4 linked regions of the Caenorhabditis elegans genome follow. The protein of the gene in region 1 interacts with the protein of each later gene in a pairwise test. Each region holds a gene or a part of one and is shown on either strand. Other genes may lie near its edges.

What was found.
Region 2: the proteins of sup-46 (region 1) and tdp-1 interact in a two-hybrid assay, tested with the Caenorhabditis elegans proteins (one large-scale study listed by BioGRID).
Region 3: the proteins of sup-46 (region 1) and hrpa-1 interact in a two-hybrid assay, tested with the Caenorhabditis elegans proteins (one large-scale study listed by BioGRID).
Region 4: the proteins of sup-46 (region 1) and phm-2 interact in a two-hybrid assay, tested with the Caenorhabditis elegans proteins (one large-scale study listed by BioGRID).

What each region holds. Positions count from the first base shown.
Region 1 is NC_003279.8:10,169,132-10,174,405, forward strand, and holds sup-46 (RRM domain-containing protein), read right to left. Parts: upstream 3,473-5,274; 5' UTR 3,437-3,472; coding exon 3,358-3,436; intron 3,279-3,357; coding exon 2,992-3,278; intron 2,925-2,991; coding exon 2,709-2,924; intron 1,994-2,708; coding exon 1,892-1,993; intron 1,844-1,891; coding exon 1,604-1,843; intron 1,237-1,603; coding exon 988-1,236; intron 935-987; coding exon 743-934; 3' UTR 508-742; downstream 1-507.
Region 2 is NC_003280.10:8,995,903-9,000,222, reverse strand, and holds tdp-1 (Tar DNA-binding protein homolog 1), read right to left. Parts: upstream 2,399-4,320; 5' UTR 2,390-2,398; coding exon 2,294-2,389; intron 2,240-2,293; coding exon 2,046-2,239; intron 1,996-2,045; coding exon 1,916-1,995; intron 1,813-1,915; exon of another isoform or gene 1,803-1,812; coding exon 1,564-1,802; intron 1,475-1,563; coding exon 1,334-1,474; intron 1,291-1,333; coding exon 1,073-1,290; intron 969-1,072; coding exon 692-968; 3' UTR 501-691; downstream 1-500. Other genes in the region: F44G4.5 (uncharacterized protein), read left to right, coding at 1-442; F44G4.3 (uncharacterized protein), read left to right, coding at 2,681-2,745, 2,792-2,887, 2,938-3,037, 3,087-3,155; ndub-2 (putative NADH dehydrogenase [ubiquinone] 1 beta subcomplex subunit 2, mitochondrial), read right to left, coding at 3,324-3,714, 3,759-3,850; Brix domain-containing protein F44G4.1, read right to left, coding at 4,130-4,171, 4,221-4,320. UniProt on the Caenorhabditis elegans protein: RNA-binding protein which regulates transcription, splicing and RNA-editing. Limits the accumulation of double-stranded RNA by maintaining the abundance of the mature RNA transcripts that are formed from double-stranded precursor RNAs.
Region 3 is NC_003282.8:3,336,696-3,340,858, forward strand, and holds hrpa-1 (Heterogeneous nuclear ribonucleoprotein A1), read right to left. Parts: upstream 2,151-4,163; 5' UTR 2,111-2,150; intron 1,850-2,110; 5' UTR 1,711-1,849; coding exon 1,684-1,710; intron 1,604-1,683; coding exon 865-1,603; intron 816-864; coding exon 538-815; downstream 1-537. Other genes in the region: F42A6.6 (Hikeshi-like domain-containing protein), read right to left, coding at 1-159. UniProt on the Caenorhabditis elegans protein: This protein is a component of ribonucleosomes. Overexpression gradually increases telomere length, leading to increase lifespan.
Region 4 is NC_003279.8:11,515,765-11,520,586, reverse strand, and holds the start of phm-2 (Pharyngeal muscle protein 2), read right to left. Parts: upstream 3,030-4,822; 5' UTR 3,022-3,029; coding exon 2,968-3,021; intron 2,914-2,967; coding exon 2,845-2,913; intron 2,840-2,844; exon of another isoform or gene 2,741-2,839; coding exon of another isoform or gene 2,708-2,740; intron 2,041-2,707; coding exon of another isoform or gene 1,869-2,040; intron 1,515-1,868; coding exon of another isoform or gene 1,396-1,514; intron 1,121-1,395; coding exon of another isoform or gene 1,004-1,120; intron 614-1,003; exon of another isoform or gene 485-613; intron 320-484; coding exon of another isoform or gene 101-319; exon of another isoform or gene 1-100. Other genes in the region: F32B4.5 (KCTD8/12/16 H1 domain-containing protein), read left to right, coding at 101-319, 1,004-1,120, 1,396-1,514, 1,869-2,040, 2,708-2,740; abhd-11.1 (AB hydrolase-1 domain-containing protein), read right to left, coding at 3,479-3,604, 3,740-4,053.

The sequences.
Region 1 (5,274 bases):
CGCACACCCGTTTGTATTTAACAAAAAATTGTCGTGACGAGACCAGGAACGGTATTTTTGGTGCCAAAATTTTTTATTGCCGGTTTTGAAATAAAAACAATTAATTTTTAAAAAAATTGATATAACAGTACTCGTTATAAAGCAGAATTCAGAATCCTTCTCCAAAAGCCTCAAGGTACCGTAATCCAGAGAAAGGCGTCAAAAATGAAAACATAGACAAACGAAAGAAAGTTGTGAGCATACAAATAGACACACACAATGCTCATCATCGTTTTCTCAGCAACAAAGGATTCTTCATGGGCGTGACTATCTTTTGCTCATGAAGGAGAGAGACGTCTTCAAAACGCAATTAAGGGCATACGGTAAAACGTTTGAGCAGCAGTTGTCGCGCGCAAATCAGATTGCGTGAAGCTCTTGTTTGATGCGGGACACACATGCTAAATTGTCTTCTGAATAGCACCTCAAATTGTGCGGCGCTCATCTGAAGACACACTTGTCACGTCATTTATTATTAAAACTTTTATTTGTCACCATCCTGCCAGAGGAAAATATGAGAAATAGTTTTAGAGTGATGAAAATGAGGAAGATGTTTTAAATTATTGAGATTCCGTTGACAAGGAAGCCTTTTTAAAGGGATAAGGAAGGATAGAGATGGAGAAAAAACGGATAAAATAAAGATAATAGATGATGATTCAAGAGAAACGTGAGAAGTTTCAAATACAAATATAACAGGGGGAATGAATTAGGCGTAGTCAACGCTGATCATGCGGCCTTCGACAGTGGATCCATAGAGGGCAGCACGAGCACGTTCAGCGTCTTGGAAAGTTGCAAAACGAATGCGAGCAGCTCCTGGCGCCATCATATCAACAGAGTCGACTTCTCCGAAGTTTCGAACACGGTCACGGACAATTTGCCAGGTATAATCGCTTGGAAGCTGAATAACAGATCATAAATGAGAACAAATTGAAATTTGAATTGAAAACTTACGTTGCGAATGATAATAACCCTTGTTGCCTGGGGTGTCGCAGCACCGGCGAGTCCACCAGCTCCATTGACACCAAAGACGTCAGGTTGAGCAAATGTGGCTCCACCAGCACCACCAACACCAGCATTTCCTCCAAATGGTCCATTGTTCATGACGGATCGGGCAAAGTTGGCTTGTTCAACGACTCCTCCAAAACCACCAGCCGAAACAACTTGTGGTCCACCTACGAATGGGGCAGCTGGAGCTGTGAACTGAAATATAGATAATTAAATTAACTTTTAAAAATTTTATAATTGAGTATTTGTTATCAAGAGTTTCATCGAACATTTTTTGTGCTTTTTTCAGAGAAAGTTCCGTTTGTTCTGAAAATCGAAAAACATGTTTAGCAAATTGGAATATAAAAACCCATTTTTGTATTAAGTTTTCAGATTGTTGATGGGGAAAAACATAAGAAAACATATCGTTTTCTTATAAAAGGCCATTTTTCGAAAAATCAAAATGTTGGAAACCCGAAAATTTCTGTTTAAAAAAAATTAATTTTTCGATTTAAAAAAATCTAAAACCACCATTGAATGCTAGTATATACCACACCGATGAAATTTGTTTTAAATCGCTTACCGGCACTGAAGCATCTCCTGGGAACATTCCATGAACATTGGAAAGTGGTGCTCCTTCTGCTCCAAGACCCATTCCGATTGACTCAAGACCTCGTGGAAGTCCACCTTCTTTGTGCTCCAGTTCCTTATCGAATCTATCCATTTTCACAACCAGATTTCGATCAAAAAGTCGCTGACCATTGAGCATCGAAACGGCTTGTACGGCTTCAATTGGGTGAGTGTATTGAATTACGCATACTCCCTGGAAGACACCATTTATATTTTATAGGAACTATAAATATTAACAAACCTTTGACTTTCCTTCTTTATCAATGCGGAAGTCCATCCAGGTGATTTTACCGGCCATACCGAAGACTTCGTAAAGCTTATCGGTTCCGACATTGAAAGCCAACTGAAAATGTTTGATTAATAATATTGTCTTGGAAACAGAAGTGGAATTTCGGAAATTCTATAAAATGACATATTTCGCCATGTTAAATATAGAAAATCACTTTTTTAAATCTGAAAATAACACTTATTTCAGATAAAACACTTGGAAAAGCGCTTCAAAAATACCAGGATGTTGCAAATTGCCGATCATCAAATTGTTGAATTATCGTTTCTCGGCAAATGGCAACTTTTGGTCATTTTCGCGCACTTTTCCAAATGTTTAAAACGAGATAATTTTTTTTTAATTTTCAGATAAATCAAGTGATTATCTACATTTTCAGACTAATTTTTGATGAAAACTTTTGAAAAAAACATGTCGCAATAGGTCATTTTGTAGCATTTCCGAAAATAATTGCCAACCACCTCTGATTGGGAACTAAGAATGGTATTTAGTAACTGAATTAGTGATGCTATATTTTATTCGTATGATACTGAGAGATCTACCCGGAGGATGCAACTGTCTGAACAAACTATAATAAGCACTGATTCCATTTTGTTGTATATAATTCCACGTAGAAAGCTTCCTACTACTATTCCGTTTAAAAACACCAAAATGAAAAATTGCATTTATTTCTCCCATTCGAATAATTTCATATCTCAAAACTGAGATAAAGACCCAGCAAGTGAACGTGGTCTAGATGTGGAGCCCTTCGAGAAGAAGAATATTTGAAACCTACATTGGCGATGAAGATGCGCTCACAGAGTGGCGGTTCAATGTTGTGTTGGCGAAGGAATTCCATATTGAGACCGAATAAATCATAAGTTCCAGTTCGAGTAGGGCGATCAAGATCTTTTGGTGGAGGACCTCGTCCTCCTGCACCACCACCTCCGGTACGAGACAAGTAATCAATGCCTGTTTCAGTTTTGATGGTTCGGAAGAAAGCATTCGGATCCTACAGAAAAAATAAAAAATGGATGAAAATTTCTGAATGTGAGTGTCAAAATTAAATAGATACGGACCCGAATTTCTTTGGCGATGATGGTTCTTCCCTTCCAGTCGAACTTTTGTAGATTCTCAACGCATTTTTCGGCACCCTCACGAGTTTCGAACTCAACCACAGCGTTACCCTTTGGCTTGCCGTTACGGTCTTCGAGCAACTCGCAGAAAGCGACTTCACCTCCTTTCTCGCGAACTAGACTTTTCAAATCGACCCAACGAGCCTCATAGGCGATATTGGTGATAAAAACCATTCGGTTGTTCGATGATGAGTTCCCATTGTTACTTCCAACAGCAGCGCCGATACGACCTTAAGGAAATGGAAAATAGAGAAGGATTTCTATGGAAAAAATGGTGGAAACGGGAATGAAGAATATCAAAAACTATACTTCTTCTTGGACTTCTGGATCGGCTCCGACGCTCTCGCTTAACATCACGCTGTGGTCCGTCTCGACGATTTCTGTTCATGTTGGCTGATGGAACACGGATCTTGGATTAAGCTTTCTGAATGAGTTGAACTAGAATCAATTAGACGATAAGCAAATGTTTTCATATAACAACGGGCTTCTTTAAAAAACAATTGAAATTTTATTTCCATTTTGATTGCTAACAAGTCGAAAATTAATTGTAACTAAAATAATCTGCTCGCTGAGTGGCCCATTTTTATTGTTGAAAGAGATAAAAGATTATTTACTGAACTGTCTCGCCAATGTAATACTTGATTTGACATCGAATTGAAAAACTATGTTACAACAATGATCGAAAACTTATGCACAGATGAGTAAAAAGTTTTGTGATCGCACCTTATTTGCTTCTTTACTTACAAATAGGCCACTCGAGCAAAATTTGACTTGATATCTTACAGAAAGACTAGAATGCTCTAAACTCTCTTAAAATTCCCGAACCGAAAATTAAGTTTTCAAAAAGAGGAACAATTTCGAAATTTATCTATCGGAGCAATTCTCTGAAACATCTTGGAGATTTTCCGACTGATAATGCATATTTAAGCCGCGAGAACCATTTAGCAAATTTTAAAACAAAAAAACGTTTGATTTAACGAAGAAAATAAAGAAAAATAAATACGATAAAAGAGAGAAAAATCGAAATTCGAAAAGAAGAGACGGCGGCAAACACAAGTGTGCATTTGTGCGTCGAGACGAGCCGCACAGCCGACATCAGATTTGACGCCACAAATCGCCGCGAAAAGTGAAGGCTTTTTCTTTGCTGCTAAGCCAGTATTCTGGATCTTTTACGATTTTTTTTTCATTTTCGATAGCATGGTTCTGTGAAACAAGATCTCTGTTCTCTTTGAAACACTCTATTCTATAATTTATTTTATTCTTCAATTGTTTCTTCCATGTTTCCCTAAAAATAATTTTGTTCGTTAATTGTCAATAGGATTTTTATGAACTGAATTCAGTGTCAAATTTCGGAGAAAGAATAGAAAACGTTTTTTGTGAGATAAGCTGCCTCTCGTTTTGTTTTGCCTCCGCATGACAGATTTATTCTCAATTTCACACTAAAAATTATTAATAATTGTACAATTTAGTTTTGCTTCAAGTTCTATAACAACGCGTTTTTGTTTTTTTTTCACAATTCATGCGCTAGCTGTCCAAAAATATTCAAAATGTTTATAGAATAGGTGATTCAACACCAACATTTCAAACTATCGTTCACAAGTCACATTCCAAATGACTAACGTCCATATAAAGTTTCTGATATTGCTCCAATCGTCCCAAATGTCTTATCATATACACTTCATGACGTGTTTTCCCTATTCTTTCTCTTTTCCCGCCGATGACCATGTCTCTCCCTTCTATTCCTCTAGGTTTCACCATACGAATATCAAATCGTATATACATTTAAAAGCCGACGCCTTCTACCATGTCGAACAGTAATCGCATGGAACTAGTTAGTCTTTTCCCAATCGCCGTCATTTCCCTCACTTTTATTCCTTACACTAGATTTTATTATTGATAGAACTGAAATCTTGGTCTTATGTTAACGACAAAAATCGTGCCTCGTTTCATTTTAAATGCAAAACTACCTGCCGTTTATTGCCGCCGTCAAGAGAACAATTCGCACTAGGTTGAGAAGGGCAAAGGTCTTTTATGACCTTTTACGCCCGGGAAGTGAGAAATACCAGAAATCACCTTTTATTTCGATCTATAACTCGAACTTTTAATTTTTCATCTTTAACCAGTGTAGGTTTATTTATTGAATAGATTTGTGTTCCACTCATCTCTTCGGTCAACAGATTTGTTTTCCCCCTGTTTCAAATTTAGCGTGAAGTTTCTACAACAAGA
Region 2 (4,320 bases), on another chromosome or scaffold:
GAATGAAAAGTCGAGCTTTGATGACGTCATCACGGGTGCCGAATCGGATAATGGTTGGGAGGATTGTTTGAGAGAAACTGAAAGTGTTCAAAGTCAATGGATCACTGAACAATCCACCATTGCTTATCCAGAAACTACACGTGTCAATTGTGATGGTCCACAAAGTTATTATGAATTGGCTGATTTGAATTATAAGCCAGCAGAGAATACTGTTCGTTTGGCTCGTGTCCCATCACAGTACCAACTTGATGCTTTGTCCGAGATTTTCGTTTTCGATGTTCCTCAACATATTGCCGTTAAAAAAGTTGAAGCTTCATTTCTGCCGAAATATGTGAACACGAGTTCCGAGGTTGCCCAGAATTCTGTGAACACGACGCCATACTTTGTGAATTCGGAGTACGTTTCTGAGATGTTGTGCAATGAATACTCGGAAACTTACTAACTTTTTGTGCCTCTTGTCTTACCAATTCTTGAGAATGAACTAGTTTTTTAGTCGATTTAATTTCAGGTTTTTTATTCAGAGATTGTAGAATTGCATTATTAAAAATACAGCATAAAATCGCAAAGTGCGTCGACATGAAAATTGTAGGGGTCTAGTAAATGTGAGAGAACAATACTAATGACAAATTGTCAGACAAGAAAATTGAGAAAAGTGTAGAAAAATATGAATAATAACGATTTTTCGAGAGAATCACCATCCTGGTCCTCTCGAGTCTCCAGGTGCCCAGTATCTCCTCTCGAGGGGAGAATTTTGCTGACGGTATGAGTAATCTTGTGGTGGGCGGACGAATGGCATGGGCAGAGGTGCTTCATTTTGAATCGGTCGTCTATCCGGTCGATCACGTTCTCTGCGGTTACGGTAGCCAGCTGGAAGGCCATAATCAGGGCCAACTGATTGATTATTCTCTTCTCGAGGCTGTGCGATGCTCAATCCAACTGATAAACCGTTGACAGTTAGCGATCCTTTGCTGAAAATTATATTTCTTACTAGAATGAAAAATATGAGTGCTTAAAAGTGATGCTACACCGGAGACAGTTATTTTTAACAGGTTTTCCAAAAAATTAGCAATACCTGACAATTCTTTCCGCGGCTTCGGCGCTCGACAGCGTAACGAATGCAAAGCCTCTGAATGGTTTTGGGATGAACACATCGGTAACTACTGCAGTCTCTATATAGCTTTTTGCTTCATCTCCAAACACTTTTCGCAGTTGATGTTCGTCTACTTTGTCTGTGAGCCTTCCGACAAAAATTCGACTGATTGATGGACGACCTTGTTTGTCCTGCAAACTCTGCTCAACTTATTAGTTTTAATTGATCAGTATAATAACATACCCTTCCATCTGGAACTTTCACATCACAACGACGACCATCAATCATGTGCTGTGGGATAGCTAATACTTTATTTTGTTCACCGACTGATGACATTCTGACAAATCCAAATCCTTTTGAGTTTCCATCCGACTTTCGTTTTATCTGAAGAAGAATATTGAATATGTATTTTTAATGGAACCTATGTGAACTTAATTCTCTCACTTTCAGATTCCTTCACTCATCTCACGAACCTCACAGAACACAACAGTTCCTATATCTTCGAAGTATTTCTGAAAGCACTCGTCAGTCGTTTTGAAGTCCACACCGAGCACGATGAGGTCAACTGGCTGGCTGTCTCTCTCAACCGCTCTCTTCCTGCCCGAACGTCCGTCACGACCGTCATCCGAATCCGAGTCGTCACTCGATCCCACTTTACGTCTCTTCGCACTCGTCGCGTCAGCTGATGACAACGCTCTGACTCTCTCGCTCTCTGAATCACACTACGTCACTCGAACGTCTTCACTCAGACTGTCACATAAACCGTCTCTACTCAAAAGCTTGAATTTTGGTGAAACTAGTTAATATAAAACAAAAACAACTTACGCGGGGCAACAATAACGAAGAACGTTTTATTTTCCCAGCCGTCAGCTGGAGCAATTAATTTCAAACCACTGGGATCGACTCTGGAAAATAAAATAAATTTTAAGTCAGTATACCTCCACCAAGCACTCACTGAACAGCTCGGTTGGCTCCAGTTTTTGGATTTTTGTACTTCAAACCAGTAGCACCCGGAAACGATGCTTGCAATGTAGTCATCAAGACAACACCATCAACGGTAGGAAGTTCTATTGGCTCATCTCCATTTGGATCTTGTACTGTGATGAATTCCGGGTCCGTGGTTTTCTTTTCGTCACTCCCAGTTTGTGTCTGGAAAACATGAACATGGGATATTAGCAACTGTACGAATTATTATTAACTTACCAGTTCTGCCTCTTTTCGAATTTCCTTAACTTCATCCAAGGGTGATTTAACCTCGGCCGCAGGTTCTGTTTTAACCTTCGGCGTTTCGTCGGCCATTTAGTGACTGGAAACAGATATATTTGAAATAATAACAAATTTACTAAAATAATGAATTATTTGTATCTATTTTTAATCAATAAAACCAATAAATTGAGCCAAAAATCTCCGAGCAAAAATCTTGTAAATTAATTACACAAATGGTGTGCAAACACCATGACGCACATATGCACACATTTTCACACCGTACCTCTCAGAAACTAGGCGTCTCTGAATTACAAAAAAAACCTTCTTTTGCCCATTAATGATCATTTTATTCTCTGAAACTTGACAATTGACTATTATTCAAACATGGAAGGTGACAAAAATGTGGTGATGAGTTCAAAACCGACAGGGAAAGCCAATTGGAAAATAAAGTAAGTGTTGTTCACCAGCGTTAAAATTAAAATTATTAACTTTCAGATTCCACAAAATTCTGTCATATCCTATGAAAAGAACTGGTCCTGCAATTGTAGCTTCAACGCTTCTCTACATAGTAATGTACAATGTTGGAGTCCGGTAATAAAACATTGTAATTGATTCATTTTTAACTGAAATACTTATTTCAGGTGGTGGAAAGGCGACAAACATCCAGTAAATCGGTTTATGTGGAAGATACAAGAACAAGAAGGAAGGCTAGATCCTACTCTTCAAGCGAAAAAACAAGTTGTAAGACTAAATTTCCGCTCGAAATAGTTTTTCATTCGTCTTTTTTCAGGTTCTTTCCTACCAAGAAGAGCGAGTTTATCGTCCACGAGACAATGTGCCGGACCTTGGAATAGTTTAGGTTATTTGGTTATAGATTAGAAATAAATAATTATATTTTTAAAATGTTCGTATTCGAAGCCACTTTATTGAATTACAATCAGGCATACAGGAAACGGTTAAAAATAAAAGTCAAGTCGTTTCAAGAAGAATGAGACTATGAATGAACTAAAAACATTCTGTCAACTATTTATCGATAAGTTCCATATTCTTTCTTGTGGTTGCCCCAGTATTCTGGATCTTCGGCAGAATCCTTTGGAATTCCGAGCTCTTCATCCGTGAACTCGCTCAAGTATGGCATGTACCAATGTCCCAAGAGATGGCCAGAATGATAGTACATGTGGTACGAGAACCACGCCCAAATGACAGCTGAGATGAAATAGGTTACACAACGATCGATGTAGGTTCGACCAGTTGTTGGAGTACGGTAGAAGTAATCTGGAATTGGCTTATCCCCCTTCGAGATGGTACCGCGGTAGTCTCCATCATAGGTGTGCAATTCTGGATTCTCCGAAGCTCCCATCTTTCCTCCAACTGGAACATTTGGACCAACAGCATCAGATCCCCAAGCAAATCGATTTCTAGAATAAAAAATAAATCTATACTATTCGGAAAGAAAATTTACCGAACAAAAGTCAGACGAGATGGGGAATTGACGAGTCCTCGATTGCGGAGGTGCTGCAGAGCCAACTGAGCAACGAATTTGTTCCCCAACATGGTCAGAACCTGAATAAATTCTGCGAATATATATAATAATAAAATATCATCAGAATAGATAATTATCGGTCAGAAACCTTAGAGGTAACAGTTTAAAAAAATTGCATCAAATTATATTATTCAATAACATCAACAAAACAACAAAATAAAAGCAGTAACAAAGATGATAGGGTTGCATGGGAGAGATTGAGATATTTGTTCAAAACTTCAAAAACCTTAGTAAGGATAAAATTGGGGCTTCGAATTTTTTTGCAACCTTTGAAAAACGAATAATAGTAATCAGAGGAAGAAACGACGACGACTGGTTTCCATTTCGTGTCTCTGAAATTTTTAATAATTTTCATTCAATTAATTTTAAATAAATCCATACCTTGAGGACCCATTCGAATTCTCCCCACTTTGCGTCGAAAGTACCCTTCTGTAGCCACTTAAGTCTTAATGTGAATCGAGGACCCAACTCCAGAAGCGCT
Region 3 (4,163 bases), on another chromosome or scaffold:
ACCAATTCCGTCCGGAAACGGTTGAGCTCCGGTAAGGAAGACCACCACGTGGTTTATCGCGTCAGCGTTTACAATTTCGCAGGTGAACTCCGTATCGGAGACCGGCACCACTTCGATCGGCGTCCTCCCTGAGACAATGACTCCAAAAATTCCAGACATTTTTAGTTTTTACTCTGAAAATATATCAATTTCTCAGCTCGCTGTCGTCCAGATCCAGATAAACATTTTTGTAAAGTTGAGACTTTTTTATTATTTTGGTTAAAAACAGCTTGAAAATTAAGCCAATTTGGTGTCAAACTCTGCATTCATTCTCTAGTTGAATGGATGTCAACTGTGCGAATTTAGAAATAAATTATATAAAAAAGACAGGGTAAAAAATTGAATAATAAACGAAACTTTCTGGAGAAAGGCAACAAGAAAAAGTACAGAAGATTTTGATGAGATAGCAGAGCAAAAATGGTTGAGAAGATCGATACAGAGGAGAGAGCACGGGAAGCTCAGACACGTTGGACACTTAGAGGGGCTTAAGGAATTAATTTAATAGTTTCTGTTTCCTCCTTGAGCATGAGCCCACTGCTGAGCACCGGATTGACCTCCCCAGCCGCCTTGCTGCTGGCCTTGGCCTCCCCAGCCACCGCCGCCGCCTCCTTGTTGAGGACCTCCCCAGCCTCCTTGCTGCTGTTGCTGTGGTCCTCCCCATCCGCCTTGACCGCCGCCGCCTTGCTGTCCCCAGCCACCACCTCCTTGCTGCTGTTGTGGGCCTCCCCATCCGCCTTGACCGCCGCCTCCTTGCTGTCCCCAGCCACCGCCGTAATCTGAAAGTTAATAATATTAGAATCGAGAATTCACAAGCCAGAATCCAACTACCTCCGCCATATCCTCCTTGGCCGCCACCTCCTGGTCCACCATATGCTCCTGGACCGCCGCGTTGAGCTGGTCCTCCCCAGCCGCCGCCGCCACCACCACCGCCATTGTAACCGCCACGCTGTCCATCGCGAGATCTTCCGCCACGGGTTTCACGATCGCGGTTCATCTGAGCCTTGCTCATCTCGTCCTTGGAGAGTCCTTTGCGCACGTCACATCTGTGTCCGTTGACCATATGGGATTTTTGAAGAACGCATTGATCCACAGAGTCATGATCATCGAAGGTGACGAATCCGAAGCCTCTTGGCTTTTGGGTGGCTTTGTCGAGAATAATCTCGGATTTGGTGACGGTTCCATACTTTGTGAAATACTCGGTGAGCATGTCCTCGGTGTGATCCTCACGAACTCCGCTGACGTACAGGCGTTTGGTGGAGACATTCGACTCGGAGCGGTTCTTATCATCACGTGGCACGGCACGCTTCGGGTCCACGGTCTTTCCGTCGATGATGTGCGGGCGTTGTTTCATGGCAGCATCGACTTCAGTTTTGCCAGAGAAGGTGACAAATCCGAATCCGCGGGATCTCTTGGTAGTTGGATCTCTCATGACGATGATATCAGTGATTTCTCCGAATTGTGAGTAGAACTCTCGCATCAGGTCATCGGTGGTGTTTGACGTGAGTCCTCCAACGAAAATCTTTCGAAGGTTCTCTGGCTCGAGCGAGGCATCTCCGCTTCCATTCTGAAAATAAAATCGATAATTAAATGATCGGGACCCAAATCAGGTGGCCTACACCCTAAAAGCAAGTGAACAAACGTAACCTCAGCCTTGATTTCCACGTCCGTCATGATCTAGTTCTTAGTAGTCGATCGGATTGTGCTAACAAGTAGTTCTTAGCTTATGAAGTAGGAAATAGACAGGCTAGTTTCACGGTGTAACTACCTATCGAACGCTATTACTCACAAAGAGTGACAGAGGTGTTGATCACTGAAATAGGTACAAGTTAGAGTAAAGATAAATCTAAAAATAGATTATTAAGTTAAATATAGACGCCATGCACGAGTAGACTATTCGTGGAAAATAACAAATCGATAAATATCTGAGAAATAAGACTATTTTAGCGAGTTTTATTCGTATTTAATCAAAGATTACGGATAAATTCGAGCTAAAACTACACAACAATTAGATTATCTGAATTAAAATGAAGAATTACGCGAAAACAGTGCGCGGAAAACCTGTAAAACATACCTTTTTGTGACGAAAACCGAGAGAGAATGCTCTCGAAAACCACAGAGAAAAGGGTTACACGCGACGCGCCGCATTCCTAACCGCGTCGCGTCGCGTCTGTTCGCGGCGAGACCCGAGTCGATAAATGTGTGTGCCTTTAAGAAAAAAAGGAGGGAAACTTTATTTTTTGAATTTAGTTAAATTTTTACAAATTAAAAAAATAACTTTTAAAAAGTATTTTCAATACCAAATTCCAATTTTGGAATTTTTGTTTAAAAAACGTTAAAATTCTTCTACAAATTTTAAGAAAAATATTTCTACAAATTTTTATGAAAATCAACTAGTTTATAATGGCTTTTCGGATTTTTCACAAGGAAGATGAACATTTTGATTTCTTTGACATTTTTTCACGAAAAAAACGTTCAAATAATCTTTGAATCCTTTATTTTTCTCGAAATTCTCACGATTTCTTATGAAAAATAATGTTTTAATTTATAATTAATGTGGTACTGTAGGGATACTGTTGGTTTACTGTAGTTTAGGAAAAATGTAGTTCTTAGCTGTTGAAGAGATATATTGGGCTGGGAGTTGGGCGAGGAAAAATAATGTCAAGGTACATACAGTAGTGGGATAATGCAGGATTACGGTAGGACTACTGTAATTTGGAAATTTTTTATACCATGTGATTTTTCTGAAACAGAAGCATCCCAGCGCTGCGCAGAAAAAAGAGATATTCATACCTGTTTTAGGTTTATAAAAATATTATACTGGTAAGACTAGGGCTGTCATATTTGGCGTCCGGTCGTCCGGTTTTGACAGGTTATCAATAGACTTTAATAATTTTCCAAAATTTTCAAACATCTAAAACCAGACGCACAAGGTTCTGACGCCGGACGTCCGATATGCCAGCCGTAGGTAAGACTGGTTAAATATGAAACAACGATTTACTTAAGTAACAGAAAAAGGTTTGATAGACATGTAAACGTATTAGAGCAACCATTGAAACTTCACCATCCATCTTGCCTTTGACGTATACGCTCGTGGATTGGCCGTTCGTCTCTACGACGTGGTGGATTAGCTCCCTTGTGCTTGTGGATTTCAAGCTTGTTTTTTGTTATATTGATCACAAAACTGGAATCAGTTCCCACCGGTCTGAACTCTCTTCCTCTATAAATTAATAGGTGATTCGGCGTAAAGACGTTCTCAATGGCTTCTTTTTCAAGTAGTTGAACATCGATAGTTGCTGACTCGAAGCTGGGCGATCTGAGGAGAATCTGGAATATAGAATACATTACAAAACGCTACTTTAACTACCAACTCACATCTCTTATCTGAACAGCATCATCGATTGATAGAGTCTGAAGACCGATGGAGAACTGGTCAAAGTGGAAAAATCTTTGAATAGGAATGTTCATTCTACCACCAATGCACAGAAAATGTTTCGCTTGCTTCCACTGCTCGAGATTTGCAATTTCTTCACTCATCTCCTGGCTAGCTGAGCAATAACAAGAATACATGCGGATTTTCTCGAGATAACCTGGGCGAAAGTACTTCACCATCGAAATATTGTCCACAAAGTCGATTCCAGTCACTTCAAGCACCTTCGCATGTGGTAAGTTCATAGCCTTGAAGCAGTCATCCACAGATTGCATATTCTCTTTCCCAGATAACCCAACCAGTCCATATGTGTTATCAAAACTGAACTTTCTTAGTCTAAGTTTCGGCATGCCCATCACGTCGGATAGCTCACCGAAGGCTGCCCTCATCAGCCTGTTACTACCAGTGACTTCTTGCCAGGCAGCCAGGTTTTCTAGATTCAATTCTCTATATCCGGTAAAAACTACACTACGGACTGGCAGAACTGAGTAAATGAATTTTCTCAATGCCTGGATCCATCAAATCGATGGTTTGGCGAAAGAGTGGTGACACATGGCGAGCGACTATGCTGAAATTGTAAATTTAGAATGCCATAGATTTTTTTTTGTTAGGCACATACAACTGACAATCTCTTGAACAACACTATATGAATACGACTTTTCTGGTTTTGGTCTGAAAAGAAATTCAGGTATAATTA
Region 4 (4,822 bases), 1.3 Mb from region 1:
TGAAGAGTCTTTGACGTCCTCTTTTGCCTCCTATTCTTCTTCTTTCTTTCTGCTAACAAACACTAGAGATAAACGAAGAAGTGAACGCACACACACATACATGCAAGTTGCACAAATTATTTGTGCTCACGGAGCAACAATTTCAACGACTCGTGCCACACTTCAACGTGCTCCACAATCGTTGCTCGCCACTTCGCCCGACGCAACGTCTGATTCAGATGACAAGATTGTGCGGATCCTCGTCGAGGCGCTTCGTCGCAGTGACATGAGCATTATCGTCTCCGAATCTTTCGATCAGTGGGCCCGATTGGCCGTTGAGGTGAGTCTATGGGCTCCGCGAGCAGTTAATGGAAGCTTTTTGTAAGAGCTCGGCTGCTTTGGATTTATGGATTCCGAAATGAGAAAGAGCTATACGAGATTTAAAAAAATCCCATAATTCTGTCATTTCTAGATGGAGCTCAATTAGGATAATGAGCATTTCACCGTGGAAATGCATAATTTAGCTTTTCGTTCCCCAGCATAAAAATTCCCCCTAAGCTCAATTACCAGATTGATTGGCGAAAATGGGAGCTAGAATGCTCAAAAATGCTCAAAATTGTCTCAAAACTCCTATTTTGGATATTTTAGGACAAAATTTCAAAAAAAAATTATCGTTTACTTGGGGAACACACTATTAAGCTTTCTGGTAGTGAATTCGATCATCCTTGAACGCAGAATAAGATCTTGGCATAATCTTGCCGTGGGAAAATTGAACGTTCACGCGTGGTGTCAGAGTGTCTCATATGGGATTGATCTACATAGATCTACAAAAAATGCGGGAGAAGAGACACAGAATTCTCAACTGATTTCGTATGGTTAAGAACGTGCTGATGCCACATATTTTTGGACAACAAATTCCCGCATTTTTTGTAGATCAAACCGTGATGGGACAGCCTGGCATCACGTGTGTTCACGATAAAGCAGGAAATGCACCGAAACCAAGAATCGCTGCTCTTTATTCCAGGCCAAACGTCTTGGGCTCATTTCATTTGTGGAGGCCGCCTGCCCGTCAACCATTAGCATCTCTTGTCATGCGGCTCTCTCAACCGGACGTATCAATCCAGAAGTCACGTTTCGAAAGGTACACAATATCCATTTTATGGCTCAAAAAACAACAGGAAAAGCTTTCGCGTCATCAAATCCCGAACCAGTAAAGGGAACAACAACAAGCCCATTTTTCCTGCTCTCGTTTTTTTTTCCTTTTTTCTGTTCATTTCTCTTGCGGTTTTCTCCCATCAATTTTCCCCTATTATTGCTTATGAATACAGCAATAGGGGAATATGTATGTTAAGAGAAGAGAGACACACACAGACAAATGCTCATCATTTTTGACGTCGAGAAAAAGGATATTTTCAGGTTCTACGAATCGTCGTATCCGGAAAAGTAATCATGTGCCGAGCAGTGTTCGGCGATTCGTTGAACGAGTGTAGAGACGGAGGAGGCACGGATTTCGAGATGGATCGCTACACTTCTAGGTAGAGACAGGCTTTTTCGCGGCCAGAAATACTGAAAACCCGTCATGTAGATTTACGCGAAATTTACAGTTTCTAGCTATAATAGCTGATTTCTGAACCATTAAAAAATGTTCCGTCTCCGTTTGATCTACAAAAAATGCGTGCTGACGTGAAATTTTTTTGGGGAAAAATATCCGCATTTTTTGTAGATCACACCACACGGGGGAGTACACTAGCGGAAATCGACAGTTTCACAAGAAGAGCTCATAAGCTCTTTTTGAAACATAATATTTGAGCAGAACGATTGGTATTTCAGCACTACCAAATGACAAGTTAACCAGATTTCAAAGCTTCAACCCAATCCTCTCTTTCCAGATTCTTCCTAAAACACAGCAACTTAGAGAAAGCGTTCGACCAACTCGCGTCTTCCGGCTACCGACTTATTCATTCCAACACATTTGCGCCGTCCGAGATGCCAAAACATGCGGCGAAAGATGACTCGCAATTTATTCATCATTCTCAATTTGTTTTCCATCGACAGCCAAAGGTAGGAAATTGACGATGAAAAAAGTTAGAGCTGAGAATATCGAATTTTGAATTGAAATTGGTCTAATTTGATGTTAGGAAATCATTTTTTTTGTGAAAAAAAAAACACTAAACGTCGGAAAATTTCCCTGCTAACATCAAATTAGTTGATTTTTCCTTCAAAATTCGTCATTTTCATTGCATTAGCTTGTAGAAACCCCCACAATTCGTCCAGTAACGCCACTTTTCCCGGAAGTTGGTGAGGTGAACAAAAGGGAACTTTGTCTCTATCCGCTTAAAAGCTTTTTCCTTCTTCTTCTTCTTCCAATTTTCCCTTCAAATCAAATCACGGGCGGCTTCATCTTCTTTTCCCCCCGCTTTTACGTGCTCTTCCACCGGAACGTGTGTGCTCACAAGGGGAGCTCGAAAATGTCTGAGCCGTTGGAAATGGATTTTCGCCGGAAAAAAAGCAGCCAATTCTTCTTCAAGTTCCGTTCATCTCATTAGCCAGCGCCCTTTTTCTATGCATTTTGAGACGCTAATTTGATCACACAAGTGGTGAATAGAATGCACAATTTATGGGGGGAGGGGAGCCCTTTTTCTTTTTTCCGGGAAAGTTGGGCCGGAAATTCGAGAAGTATCGCTTTCAATTGGTGGGAAACCGAATTTATATATCGATTTTTTTGCAGCTTTGCCCTCCATCGGACACTGGTAGCAACTAGCAACGTGGACTTTTATTGCATTTTTCAAATAAATTGTTTTTTTTTGTAATTTTTCAATTTTGACAGGAGATTCGACGATAAATAAATACATCACACATTTTTACCTTATTCAAACGAACAGTGAGCACAACCTTGACTCCTTGAGTACTCAAACCACGCTTCTCGAGCTCTGTCTGCAAAAAGTGCATTTTATAGGGAATTTCCAGTGGAAAAAATGATTCACTTACCTTCAATTCACTAACACGCAAGTCATTGATCAATTTTCCGCTTTCCAACGGCATATTTTGCTCTGAAAATCGAAAATTTTCGGTGGAAAAAAATCGATAAAACACCAACTCGGCGACAACATGATTTTCGACGAAAATAACGGGCTTTTTTTTAGGCGGTTCAAACGATTGCCACGTAAGCAAATTCTTAATTTGGCGTGAAAAATTTAAAAAAAAAGAGAAAAATTGGATAATTTTACGCAGAAAAGATGAGAAATGAGAAAAAAAGAAATGCGCAGCGTTCGCGCAAGCTCACGAGAAACGCGCCAGCAACCACTGGTTGGCGCGTTTCGTGAAAAGCGAGGGAGATTCAAATTAGAATATTTTTGCAGGCCAAAAACGCAATTTTTCAAACGAATAATAAGAGAAAACCCATTTATTATAAACGAATTATGTAAAATTCAAGAAATTTATCGAATAAATTGAGGAAAAACTGCTAAAACTGCTGGAATTCCATGTCAAATTTCATAATTTAAATGTAAGCTCTCATTCCAAGCTGATCAGGTTCCTCCAGGAACTCGCAAATCGAGTCGACAAAGAATTTCGGGTCATCAGCATGAATCCAGTGGTTCGACCAGGCAGTTTCGGCGAATTGCACCTGTGAATTTGAATTTTTGAGCTTATTTTTCAAAATTTATCGATTTTTAGCCTATTGCTTGTCTTCACACCCTTCTAGATTATTTTCCCGCCATTTTTAAAGATCAAACTAGTCGAAAACCTTATATTTCCTTACCATTGGGAACATTTTCTCTACTCGATTCTTATGAGCCGCCGGAAGGAATCCCGAGCCAGGAGCCCGCTGGAACAGAGTCGGACCATCGAAAACTCCGAACCGAATGTCGTGGCTGAGCAGATAAATGTATGTCTCATCGATAACATTCAGATTGCATATCCAATGAGCTTTTCCGTTCACATCTTCACCCAAATTTCCGCGCACAAATTGGTAGAGCAGCACCTTTGACACTTTTTCGCCGAGCTCCGCCATCACTTCGCTTCGCGATTTGTTCATATCAGTGGCGATCATTTGTTTGATACATTCGAGGTATTCTGGAATAATTGGGGAGTTGTATTTCGAATTGATTTCCGGCAAATCGGCAAACTGCCGGAGTGGAAATTTCCGGCAAATCGGCAAATTGCCGGATTTGAAAATGCTCGGCCTATCGGTAAATCGGCGAATTGCCTGATTTCAAAATTTCCGGCAAATCGACAATTGCCAAAATTGAATCTTTTTGGCAAATCGGCAAACTGCGTGAATTGAAAATTGCCGGAATTGAAAATTTCCGGCAAGTTGCCTGATTTCAAAATTTCCGGCAATTCGACAATTGCCAAAATTGAAACTTTTTGGCAAATCGGCAAACTGCCGAAATTGAAATTTCCGGAAAATCGGCAAATTGCCGGATTGGACAATTTCCGGCAAATGGACAAATCGGCAATTGCCAAAATTGAAACTTATCGGAAAATTGGAGAATTGCCGAAAATAGAATTTCCGACAAATCGGCAAACTGCCGGAGTTGAAATTTCCGGCAAATCGGCAAATTGCCGGATTTGAAAATGCTCGGCCTATCGGTAAATCGGCAAATTGCCTGATTTCAAAATTTCCGGCAAATCGGCAAATGCCAAAATTGAAACTTTTTGGCAAATCGGCAACTGCCAAAATTGAAACTTTTCGGCAAATCGGCAAATTGGCGGATATGAAAAGTTGCCGCCAATTCGCCGATTTGCCGATAATTTTCAACTCCGGCAATTTTTCGATTTTCTGGAAAGTTGAATTCCGCTGACAATTTGCCGATTTGCCCATTTCCCGGTAATTTTTAAT